Coturnix japonica: one gene and its partner. The main gene of each other region encodes a partner of the protein of the gene in region 2 in a complex. Links are inferred from orthologs where the notes say so. Each region holds a gene or a part of one and is shown on either strand. Other genes may lie near its edges.

Evidence for each region. Proteins that work in one complex are often made in the same cells at the same time.
Region 1: ADGRG1 (region 2) and CD81 share a complex: the UniProt entries of both Homo sapiens proteins name them as parts of the GPCR-tetraspanin complex. The link is inferred for Coturnix japonica from reciprocal best matches to the Homo sapiens genes ADGRG1 and CD81.

What each region holds. Positions count from the first base shown.
Region 1 is NC_029520.1:10,912,059-10,916,946, forward strand, and holds the start of CD81 (CD81 antigen), read left to right. Parts: upstream 1-1,920; 5' UTR 1,921-1,991; coding exon 1,992-2,057; intron 2,058-4,888. UniProt on the Homo sapiens protein: Structural component of specialized membrane microdomains known as tetraspanin-enriched microdomains (TERMs), which act as platforms for receptor clustering and signaling.
Region 2 is NC_029526.1:1,923,299-1,928,125, reverse strand, and holds the start of ADGRG1 (adhesion G-protein coupled receptor G1), read right to left. Parts: upstream 3,029-4,827; 5' UTR 2,903-3,028; intron 1-2,902. UniProt on the Homo sapiens protein: Adhesion G-protein coupled receptor (aGPCR) for steroid hormone 17alpha-hydroxypregnenolone (17-OH), which is involved in cell adhesion and cell-cell interactions.

The DNA of each region.
Region 1 (4,888 bases), on a different chromosome or scaffold from region 2:
AGGTATTTTCTTCATCGGTTTGCACCCTGGGTAAGCAAACTGGCATTAACTGAGTGTCCCACAGAGCATCTGAATTTAACCCATCTCTGAATTAGGGAATTCCCCAGCCCTGTGCACAGCACCTGCACTCCATCCCAGGACGTGATAAGCACAACTTTGTGCAAATTAGTTCAACTTACAGAGCAGCCTGCTTAGGAAGATCTGGTGAAGCTGCTGGGAGGCTTTGAAATGCGTTCCTGATACTTTGTAGACTGTTCAGCACTGGGGAAAAGGCTGCATCTGATAGCACAGACCTGCTTGAGAAACAGTCTGTGTTACCTTGACACTGGAACTTGGTGTTTGTTTTGTTGGTTTGGGTTGTGTGGGGTTTTTTTTTCAGTACAGAGGTCAAAGTTTTCAAGCATGCTCGGCTGAGCTGCCTGGAAGCAAATAAATTGATAGAAGACTGAGATGTTTGGATAAAGTTTGAAATACTTCCCCACTGCCAAGCCACAGAGAGGTTCAGATGGGATCTGTGACCCTTGAGCTGGAGCCCTGGACAATGTATGGTTCAGGCATGGGGATGCCCTAGCAGTAGGAGCACATTAGCTCTGAGACAGATTGTTTAGCATTTGGAGTGTATGAAAAGTTTTGTTTCTTGTTTGCTACTTCCCATAGGTTAAGGCAGAAAGCAAAAGCCATGATACCACCTTCCAAATATCCCAAGCTCCCCATAGGTGGCTCCAGTGCCAGTTTGGTGGTAGTGATTGCAGTGGGGCTGCCAGCTTCCCAGCACACAGACACTGATTTGAGTGTCTTTCCTTCCTAAGCCCAGCTCTGGCTGTGCTGCTGCTGAAGCCTTATCAGTTTGCATGTGGTTCTTTCCCTTCCCTGCAGCAAACCCTGCTTGTTTTGGGCAGAAATCAAGGCATTGTGGGATCCTGTGTCATAGCAGGGGAAAAAAATTGGGATCCTGTCATTATCTTTTGGATCAACAGGCAGGATCCAGGCAGGATTACACCTACAGCCAACGATTCAGTCTATCAGCTGGTGCATGAATACCCCTGTGAGCCTCCAGCTTCACTGGTAAGGCCAAATGAGTAAATGGGGCTTAGAAACAAAGGGTTTATGCATCCATGGCAAGCCCACGATTAGGGGATGCACTCAGTAATTGGGGAACTGGTTTGGCTTCTGTTCTGCCTCAGTTCTCACTGGGTGCTCAGCAGGTGCAGAGGGCAAAGCAGGGTTCGACAGGCACCAGGGGTGCTGTCTGAGCACTTGAACTCATTTCTACTTTTTTTCTTTGTTTTTCTTTTAGACACATAAGGTCCTGCCTTCGATCAGGCTTTTGTGTTCTGAGTTCTGTTCTGACTTTTTGGTACCCCAGCCCTAAAAAAAAAAGCAACCATGCCTGCTGGTTGCACAGCAGGGTGTGAGCAGGCTGTGTTTCTAGGGATGCACAGATGAACCAAAGTGAGGTTAGCCTAGAAGGTGAGGAAACTTTCTGCTGGTTCTGTGGTGCTGCTTTTTGGCTTTTAAAATTCAACTTCCAAGCTGCAATGTGAGGGATACTAAAAATGTCAGCGCGTGTGACACAGATCTCTTTGATGGTGAGCCCTGAAATACCCCCAGATGGATGGGGAAAGGAGCAAAGCAAGCACGGTGAGTGCTTCTGCACAATTTGGAGGTGATCTTTTGGGTGGTGGGTTGTGTAAGGCTGAAAGGAAGCATTGGGAAGATGGGGGTGAGTTTTAATGTAAGAGCAAGTGGGAAAAGGGAAGGTGCGGGGGTGGGAAGGCTACAAGAGGGGGGAAAAAAAGAACAGGGGAAGGGAGAGGGAAGGGAAAAAGCAATCGAAAGGAAAAAGAGCGTTAGAGGGTGGGACCCGGAGGGCCCCCGCCGCTCGGGAGAGGCGGGCAGGGGGCGGCCCTTCCTAGCGCTCCCTCCCTCTCTCCCTCCCCGCCGCCGCCCAGCTTGGCCTCAGATCGGGAGCTGCTGCCGCCGAAGCCGCCATGGGGGTAGAGGGCTGCACCAAGTGTATCAAATACCTGCTCTTCGTCTTCAACTTCATCTTCTGGGTAAGCCCCAGCGCGATGAGGGCGGTTGGGCTGTGCGTCCTGCTAGAGCCGGGGTATTTTCTATTCCTTTTCCCCCACCGGCCAGCCCCCATGTTGAGCTTTGCACCCTGCTATCAGGGCTTTTTGGTCGGCGGGGTGCGGGGATCATTTATCCTTTGGTTTTTTTTTATGCGCGCTAACGCAGCTTTATTTATTTATGTATTTATTCATACGGCACATCTATATGCACTCACGTAGATGGATGTATTTTTTAATGTATGTGCATCCTCTGCGCGAGGGCGGGGGTTCGGCTCTCTGTTCTCTCCCCGCACGTCCTGTTGCCGTGCGGTTTTTCGATTGCTGAGGGCTGGATGGGGTGAGCCCCCCCGTGCGGAGGGGATGCGTAAAGCAGGGGAGGTTGGGGCTGGCGCTGCCCCTCGCAGCCCTGGCAGCGCTTGGAGCGGGCTGGGTTAGGGCTGGGCGCTGCCTTTGGGAACTTAGTGGAGCCGGCGGATATTCCCAAGGTGCTGAGGTTTGCTTTTCTGAGAAAGTTTCTCATGTAATAATTCATCTGCCTGGGCATGGTGGTGGCAGCGGGTCCTCCTGCGGGGGAGGAAGGTCACCGTTAGCGTTCCTGTCCGTTTTTCCCAATTCTGGGTCAGACGCCGACGCGTCAGGGAGCGGTGGAGGCGCTCCCGAATCCAGCCTGGTTTGAGACTCTGCTTTGCCTTTCTTCTCACATAGCGGTGACCGAGGAAGGCTGACAAACGGTGACGACAGCGGCATTAATTGATATCCGATGCTGTGCCAGCTGCAGGATGAGCTGGGACCGTCCTCCTCCCTCTCTAGGCAGCAGGACAGGGCTGTGTCTCCCTGGGCTGCTCCCCCACGAGCTTCGGTGCCTATCCGGGGGCTTTGCTTCCCTCCTGCTCCAGGCTTCCTGCCATTCTTGTTGCAGAAGTGTGGATGCAGAAAGGAAGGGTCCCATGGGGACAGGAAGGATGCAGAAGGGCCCTGTGCTGCTGCTGCTCCTGGGGAGGCTCCCTCACTCGTGCTATATACCTAACTCTTAGTAAACCATCCTTTTACTTAAAAGGGGAACTTCCAGATCCATTTTCCTTCCCTTTATGGCTTTTGGTTCCTGCTCTCCAGGGCTTGCCAGCCAGCAGTTTATTCCGGGGGCTTTTCATGAGGCTGGGTGGCCAAACAACAGGTCTGATGGCTTCCATAAGCTGGAGTCGAGGGTAATTGTAAGGTTTAGCGCCTTATCAGTGCGGTGAGCAACACGTCTCATGCCTCCAGCTATGGGTGGGGGATGCTTTGGTCGTTACCCCATCGTGAAGACCTGAGAAAGTTTTATGTTCAGAGGGAGGAAGCAGCGCTGAAGCGCTTGTCGCAGGGTGCCCGTGCTGCTGGCAGCGCAGCTGCCTGTGTGTCCCAGCCCCTGGGAGATATGGGATGAGGGGCTTGGGGCAGTGTCGATGCCAGCCATTTGGTATGCGAAGGCTGTGGAACTGCTCTGTTGCTTGTTGTGTGCTTGGCGCTGAGTCGAAAACAAGCGCGAGGCAGAACTGGGAGCTTGGCAGACACCAGGGCTTGGCCGCATGCTGAAAAACAGCTCACTCCGGGGGAGGAAAGGAAGTAATTCTAAGCCTTGCTGTGTTAACAAGTAAGAAAGAAGCTGATAACTTTTTGAAGTGGCCTCGTTGTCCTGCTGGGGTGTAAATAAACGGACACCCCCGTAGCAGCACAGGGACATAACAAAGCCGCCGTGTTGGGAAGCAAAAGTAAAATGTTGCTTCAGCACCAGTTGCCCTGGGCGCCTTGGCAGCAGCCCCGTCTGCCTGAGATTTCTCTCTTTTGGGGGCCGTTTTTCCCTCGTGCTTTAGGAAGAACCGGGCTGTTTTGCTGGCTGGGGCATGCAGCTGGGCCACGATGGCTGTCAGGGAGCACACATAAGATTGCACGCACGTTGCCGATGTGTGCTGAAGGGTGCTGGGAATGAGAGTCCTGAGGCTGCTCAAAGCTTTCTGAAACTCTGGAAGACCTGTGGCATGTCCAGTAGAGTTGTGCTGGGTTGTAGTGTGATGAAAGTGGGCAGACATCACTAGGGTGGTGGAAGAGGACAAAGGCAGCTCCAGGAGAGCTTCACCCCACTAACAGAACACAGGGATAATAAGGAAAAGCTTTTATGTGCCACGAGCTTGGCCTGAAACCTCAGTAGAAATACTTGAATCCCATTTCTGTTATTTCTTGCATGGCTGAATTAGGCAGTATACTTGTGATATTTGAGAGCCACAGGGAGCAGTGACTTTTGGGAGATGGCCAGCTGTCCACGAAAGGTGCTGGGTTATTGGATGGTTGCTGAGCGAGCTGCCAAGCTCATGCCCTGAGGCACTGCTGGTGGAAGGGTCTCAGCATGGTTCAGGTTGTGGCTGGTACATTGAGCTGGGGCCACTTTTATATAACCTGAGAGGCCAAATGAGGCCCAGTAGGTCTTTCAACATGTGATTAAACATAACTAGAAAGGAATCAGCCTGCTCTCACCCAGCCCATCAGCTAACATGCACCTCCAGGCCCAACACACTGCCGCCTGCTCTGGTGAGGGGTCTGGTTCAAAGAGCTCACTTTTGGCATGGTAGTGGCAAGTTGATGGTTGGACTAGATGATCTTAGTGGTCTTTTCCAACCTTAATGATTCTATGATTCAGTCCTCCCTTCCATGCTACACACAGCTATTTTCTCCTATGCTTGCTGAGTTGTCTGTGGCATGGGTGGGGATGAAATGGAGGAGCACAGGGGGGACATGAAAGTGTAAGACCATGCATTACAAGAACAGGTTCAAGTTGCTGG
Region 2 (4,827 bases):
CTAATCTGTAAGAGCCCCCCCAGCCCCCAGCAGCAGCCAAGGCTGCACCAGTGAGGGCTGCACTGAGACATAAAGCTGGCCAGGTATGTGGATGGCTGCTGCCGTGCAAAGCGGAGCTGCAGCAACATGAGCACAGAGGCCTTCTCACAGGCAGCACTGCCCACAAATTTACACTGCACAGCTGAGGTTCTGACCACGGCCATGATGCTGAACATGATTGGAACGCTGATGGCTTCCTGGGTGCGTGAGAATGATATCAAGAAAGGCTCTTCTGTGGCTTTAAGTCCTGTAGCTCAGTGTGCTGCCATGGGCACAATGGACACACTGAGGTCCCGGTGTGGGTATGGCACAGGCACCAATTGGGAGGGATCGTCCCTTTGAGTCATTTCTGAGCCCAACCAGAACCCAAAAGCCCAGCCGGGACCCAGCGGAGCTGAGCAGCCAAGTTTCCCCTGCTCACCCTCCTGATTGCTGCTTCCTGAGCTGAACAATGGCGAGAGAAAATCCCCCGACACAGCGGGGGGGAAAGCTGACACAACCCACAGAAGGCACTGCCCCTTCTCCTCTGCATCCATGGGGGCAATGGGGACACAGAGCATTGCCACCCCCATGTACCTGGGGGCAGCAGGGAAGCAGAGCATCAGGGTGTCCAGGTACCAGAGGGTGGCCATGCCCCCATTCCCAGTAATCCCTTTTTGACAGCCACAGCAATGGGACAGGACGGTTTCCCCAACCCCAACCCCAAAAGCTCCCTAGGAACACATAGAAAGCTGCTGTTCTGCCCCACGTTGGAGGTGGGGGTTTGGAGCAGTCCCCTGTTGGCACAGGGTGCATTTTTTCCCCATGGCTCAGCCCCGGTGCGGGGACGTTACACCGTGTTCCTTCAGTACCATTAAATGAATGCGCTCATCGGAAAGGGAAGCCGAGGAATAACACTGTGACCTCTAAAGCTGGAAAAAACAAGAGCCCGGTGAGAAACCTTCCTGCTCTCTGGGTGACTGGGCACCAGGCATTCGATGGAGGCGGTGATGGCAGGCAGGCTCTGTGCATGATGTTTTCCCCACAGAGGGAAGATGTGCTCACGTCTCCAATGAGCACTGGAGACACGTGGATGAGGGGATTGTTGTGGCTTTGTATCCAGGCTCCTTAGATGCTAATGGAGGTACAGCTCTTTGCCCACAGCCTGTCAGCCATGGGGCAGGAGGCACAGTCTGGGGGGTGGATGGGGAAACTGAGGCATGGAGACACAGAGCGGAATGGAGCCATGCATGGAGAGCAGACCTGCCTTCACAGTGTGCCCTTGTCCTTGGCCTGCAGCCCATGGGCAGCCCACACATTGCTCACGGCATCGGCACGTCAGCCCCTTCCCGTCACCAGCGGGCGTCAGGCACGTGCCCTCGGCCACCAGGATGGCTGCAGATCGCATGGGAATGCATGGAGCCACGGGTCACCACAGCCCCAAAATGCAGCGAGCATCATCGGAAACCAAACCGACCGATTTAGTGCTGGTGTGAAGGGTGGGACTTTCAGCTTCTCAACCACAAACAATGGGGTGAATGCAATGCAAGGCACACACCAATGTGTGATGAGGGCTGCAAGAAGCTGCTCTGCTCTCTGCCTCACCAAAACCCTCGGCACCCTGCTGCAGAGCCAGGTACCTGGGCTGCAGAGCAGAGCCCCTGCCAAGGCCCAGCTGTCAGCGAGCTGATGGGAAAGGAGTTGGCGGCTCAGGACCGGCCAGCTGGCACACAGCAGCACCAGCACGTCCCTGCAACACCCATGGGTGACCCCATGAAGGTGCGCAGTGCTCAGCCCCGGGGTGCCGTGTCCCGGCAGCGTGCAGTTGTTTTGTGAACCTGTTGCTCTACGAATAGCACCCGCAGTGGGCTGCGGGATTAAGAGCTGGATGGCGACCAACTATGCGGTGTTTACAGGGTCGGGGCTTCATTCCCGTGGGAGCGGCAGACCCACCGCGGGGCGGCACCGTGCTGATGGGGCTGCCCAGAGCCTGGTGTGTGCCCCAAATCCGAGCAACCCAAAGCCCCCCTGGCTCCCTGCTGGTGGCAGCAGGCTTCTGTGCCAAGCAGACCGTGAAATCCACGTTGGCCGGCAGCCCTGCCCGCAGCCGTGCTGCCAGGGGGTTATTCCAGGAGATTTCATCCTGCTTTCCCACCGCTGCTCTGCGCCCCATCCCTTTATGGAGCAGTGGGAGCAGCGTGCCGGGACCGGCAGCAGCAGGCGCAGGGCTGCAGGAGGAATCCCCCGGCGGGCATCGGGCTGCGAGAGCGCTGTGCTGAGACACGCCGGCTGCTCCGAGACGGCACCGAGCGGGGTGTGCTCGTGGGCCCCCGGGTTGGCGAGCCACACACGTTGGTTGCCATGGCATGGAATGGAATGGTGTGGAACGGCACAGAATGGAGCGGGATGGTGTAGAACGGAACAGCAGAGCGTGGCATAGAATGGCACGGCATGGCGCGGAACGGCATAGAATGGCACGGCACGGCACGGCATAGAATGGCACGGCACGGCACGGCAGAGTGGTGCGGCCTTGGCAGGGCTCAGCTGTGCCGAGGAAGCAGCCGCGAGCAGCTGCCCCGCGAGGCGGCTCCACGGCCCTGGAATCCAGCCCGGCTGCGGGGTACGGAGCCCGATTTAGAGAGGAAAGAGAAGAGCCCGTAAGGACAGAGGCTGCGCGCAGAAAGACCCCGAGGAGCCCCATTCTCTACACGGACAGAGGCGTTACACCTTGCGCTGAGCCACAAAGCAGTCGGCACGGAACGCCCGCACCGCGCCCGCTGCCGGGGGCCGAATCCCGGCCCACAGCCCGCAGCATCCCCCCGCTCCCCACGCAGCCCCGTCGTCACCTCCGCATCCCCCACCGCCGCTACCTGTGTCCATTTACCTGTGCCGGGGCCGGGCGGGGCGCGCCGTCCCGACGCCGCTCGGCGCTGCTCGGCTGGACGGAGCTCGGCGCTCGGCTCGGCACAACCCCCGCCCCGCCTCCGCTCCCACCCCACCCCCAGGGCAGGCGGTGACTCAGCGGGGTGGGATCCGGCCGAGACCCCTGTGCTGCGGCACCTGCTCGTGCGATGGAGCCGGGCTGGGGGGCGGGGGGACGGCGGGCGGTATCGCCCCCTCGGGCCGGGGATCGGCAGAGGGAGCGCGGTGGGGCGGGGGAAGTACCCCCGGGAGCTGGGGCTGGAGGGCGGCCAGGGGGAGGAAAGGAGTTGTACGGCTGCCAGGCTGCACGCCCGGCTGGGAAAGGGATTAAAGAATAACAGCCGATGTGAGAGCGGCCGGGACGCGGCGTCCTAAGAAGCGTGTCCTGCTCCGGGCAGGAAATGAGGGTGCGGGCAGTGGGTGCTGAGCGCGGTGCTCCCCGTGCCCGGCACCCCCTGAGATGTGGGGTCCGGGACGGAGCCCCGACGGCAGCGCGGTGCATGCGGAGCTAAGGCGGCGTGGCCAGGTTCCAGCCCAGCAGCCCTTTGTGTGCGCTGAAAAGGGAGAGCCGGCTTCCAAGGAGATGGCGGGGAGGTGGCCAGGAAGCGTAAATACTCAGCCTCTCACGGATATTCCCAGAGGGCTGAATGGGACTTTTCTTCTCTTTCATGCTGCTGGGGGAAGGGTGGACGCGGCGGCACGGGGACAAAAGGCAATCAACGAACCCAAGGTGCCGCGGCCACACCGGGAACAGGGGTGGGAACGGGATGGGAATGGGATGAGATCGGTGCTCGCTGTGCCTTAGGGGGTCCCAGCCCAGCACCTCGTGCTCCGTTCACATCACCCATCAGCTGTGGCCTCTTTGTTCAGCTGCCCCCGGGCCGGCACACGCTGCATCACGCGGCCACACCGCAGCCAGCGCGGCTCCTTTCCGGGCAGCCATCCCCTTGTACCCGCATCCCTCCCATCCCCACTCCTCTCGCCCTGCTCCCGTCTCCTGGTGCAGGATGCAGCCCCCCGTGCTGACCCCCGGCCCCGGGATCACAGCTCCTATAGGGAAAGGACACCTCGGGCCGTGCCTTTGCTGCCGTCCAGGGAACAAAAAGGCTTCTGTCCACATCAGGGCGTTATCAGGAGGTCGGTAGAGTTATTTTAGGGCTGATGTCTGCACTTGTTGATGTTATCGGATGATGTGGAAGTCAGCAGGGCTCGCTGCTGCCTTCAAAGACCGATGTGGAGCACTGGGGGAGGAAATCCTCACGTTGTCCCTGCGGGGGAAATTTGCCCTTGGGCTCCGGCCAGCAGCACTCCCTGAACCTGATAAGGATTTACTGCTTGAGCTGAGCAGTTCGAGCCTTGGGAACCCCTGTGGATGGAGAGCCCGTGGATTCCAACCCATGCCCAGAGGCACTGCATGAGGCTGAGCTCTGGGCAGGTTGGAGCGCCAAGCCCTGCAGAACCCCTGCATGCACCCTGGGCTGCAAACCTGCATCCTCATCCCAGCTGCTGCCCACCCCCCGTGATCCCCACCCAACCTGGGAGCCAAATGCTTGAGTAGCTGAGAAAATACACCTGATAGGGCTGTGGGAAAGATAAATAGAGCTGGCTCTCCTTGAGGAGGTGAGATGGGCTGGGCTTCGGTTCCCACTGCCATCCAGCACAGCATGGGGATGGCAGGGCACCCTCTGGGCTCCGGGCACCTTGGGGTGTGCCACACTGCACTGTGGCCCTGCAGCCCCAGGATGGTCACGCAGGGAGGTATGGTGAGGGTATGGTGAGGGCATGGTGAGGTCATTGTTTTCCAGGCACTGCTGGATACAGGAACAGGCATAGGAACGCACCGGTGTCGGTGCAGACACAGCCACCAGCAGGGTCATGATTCATGCC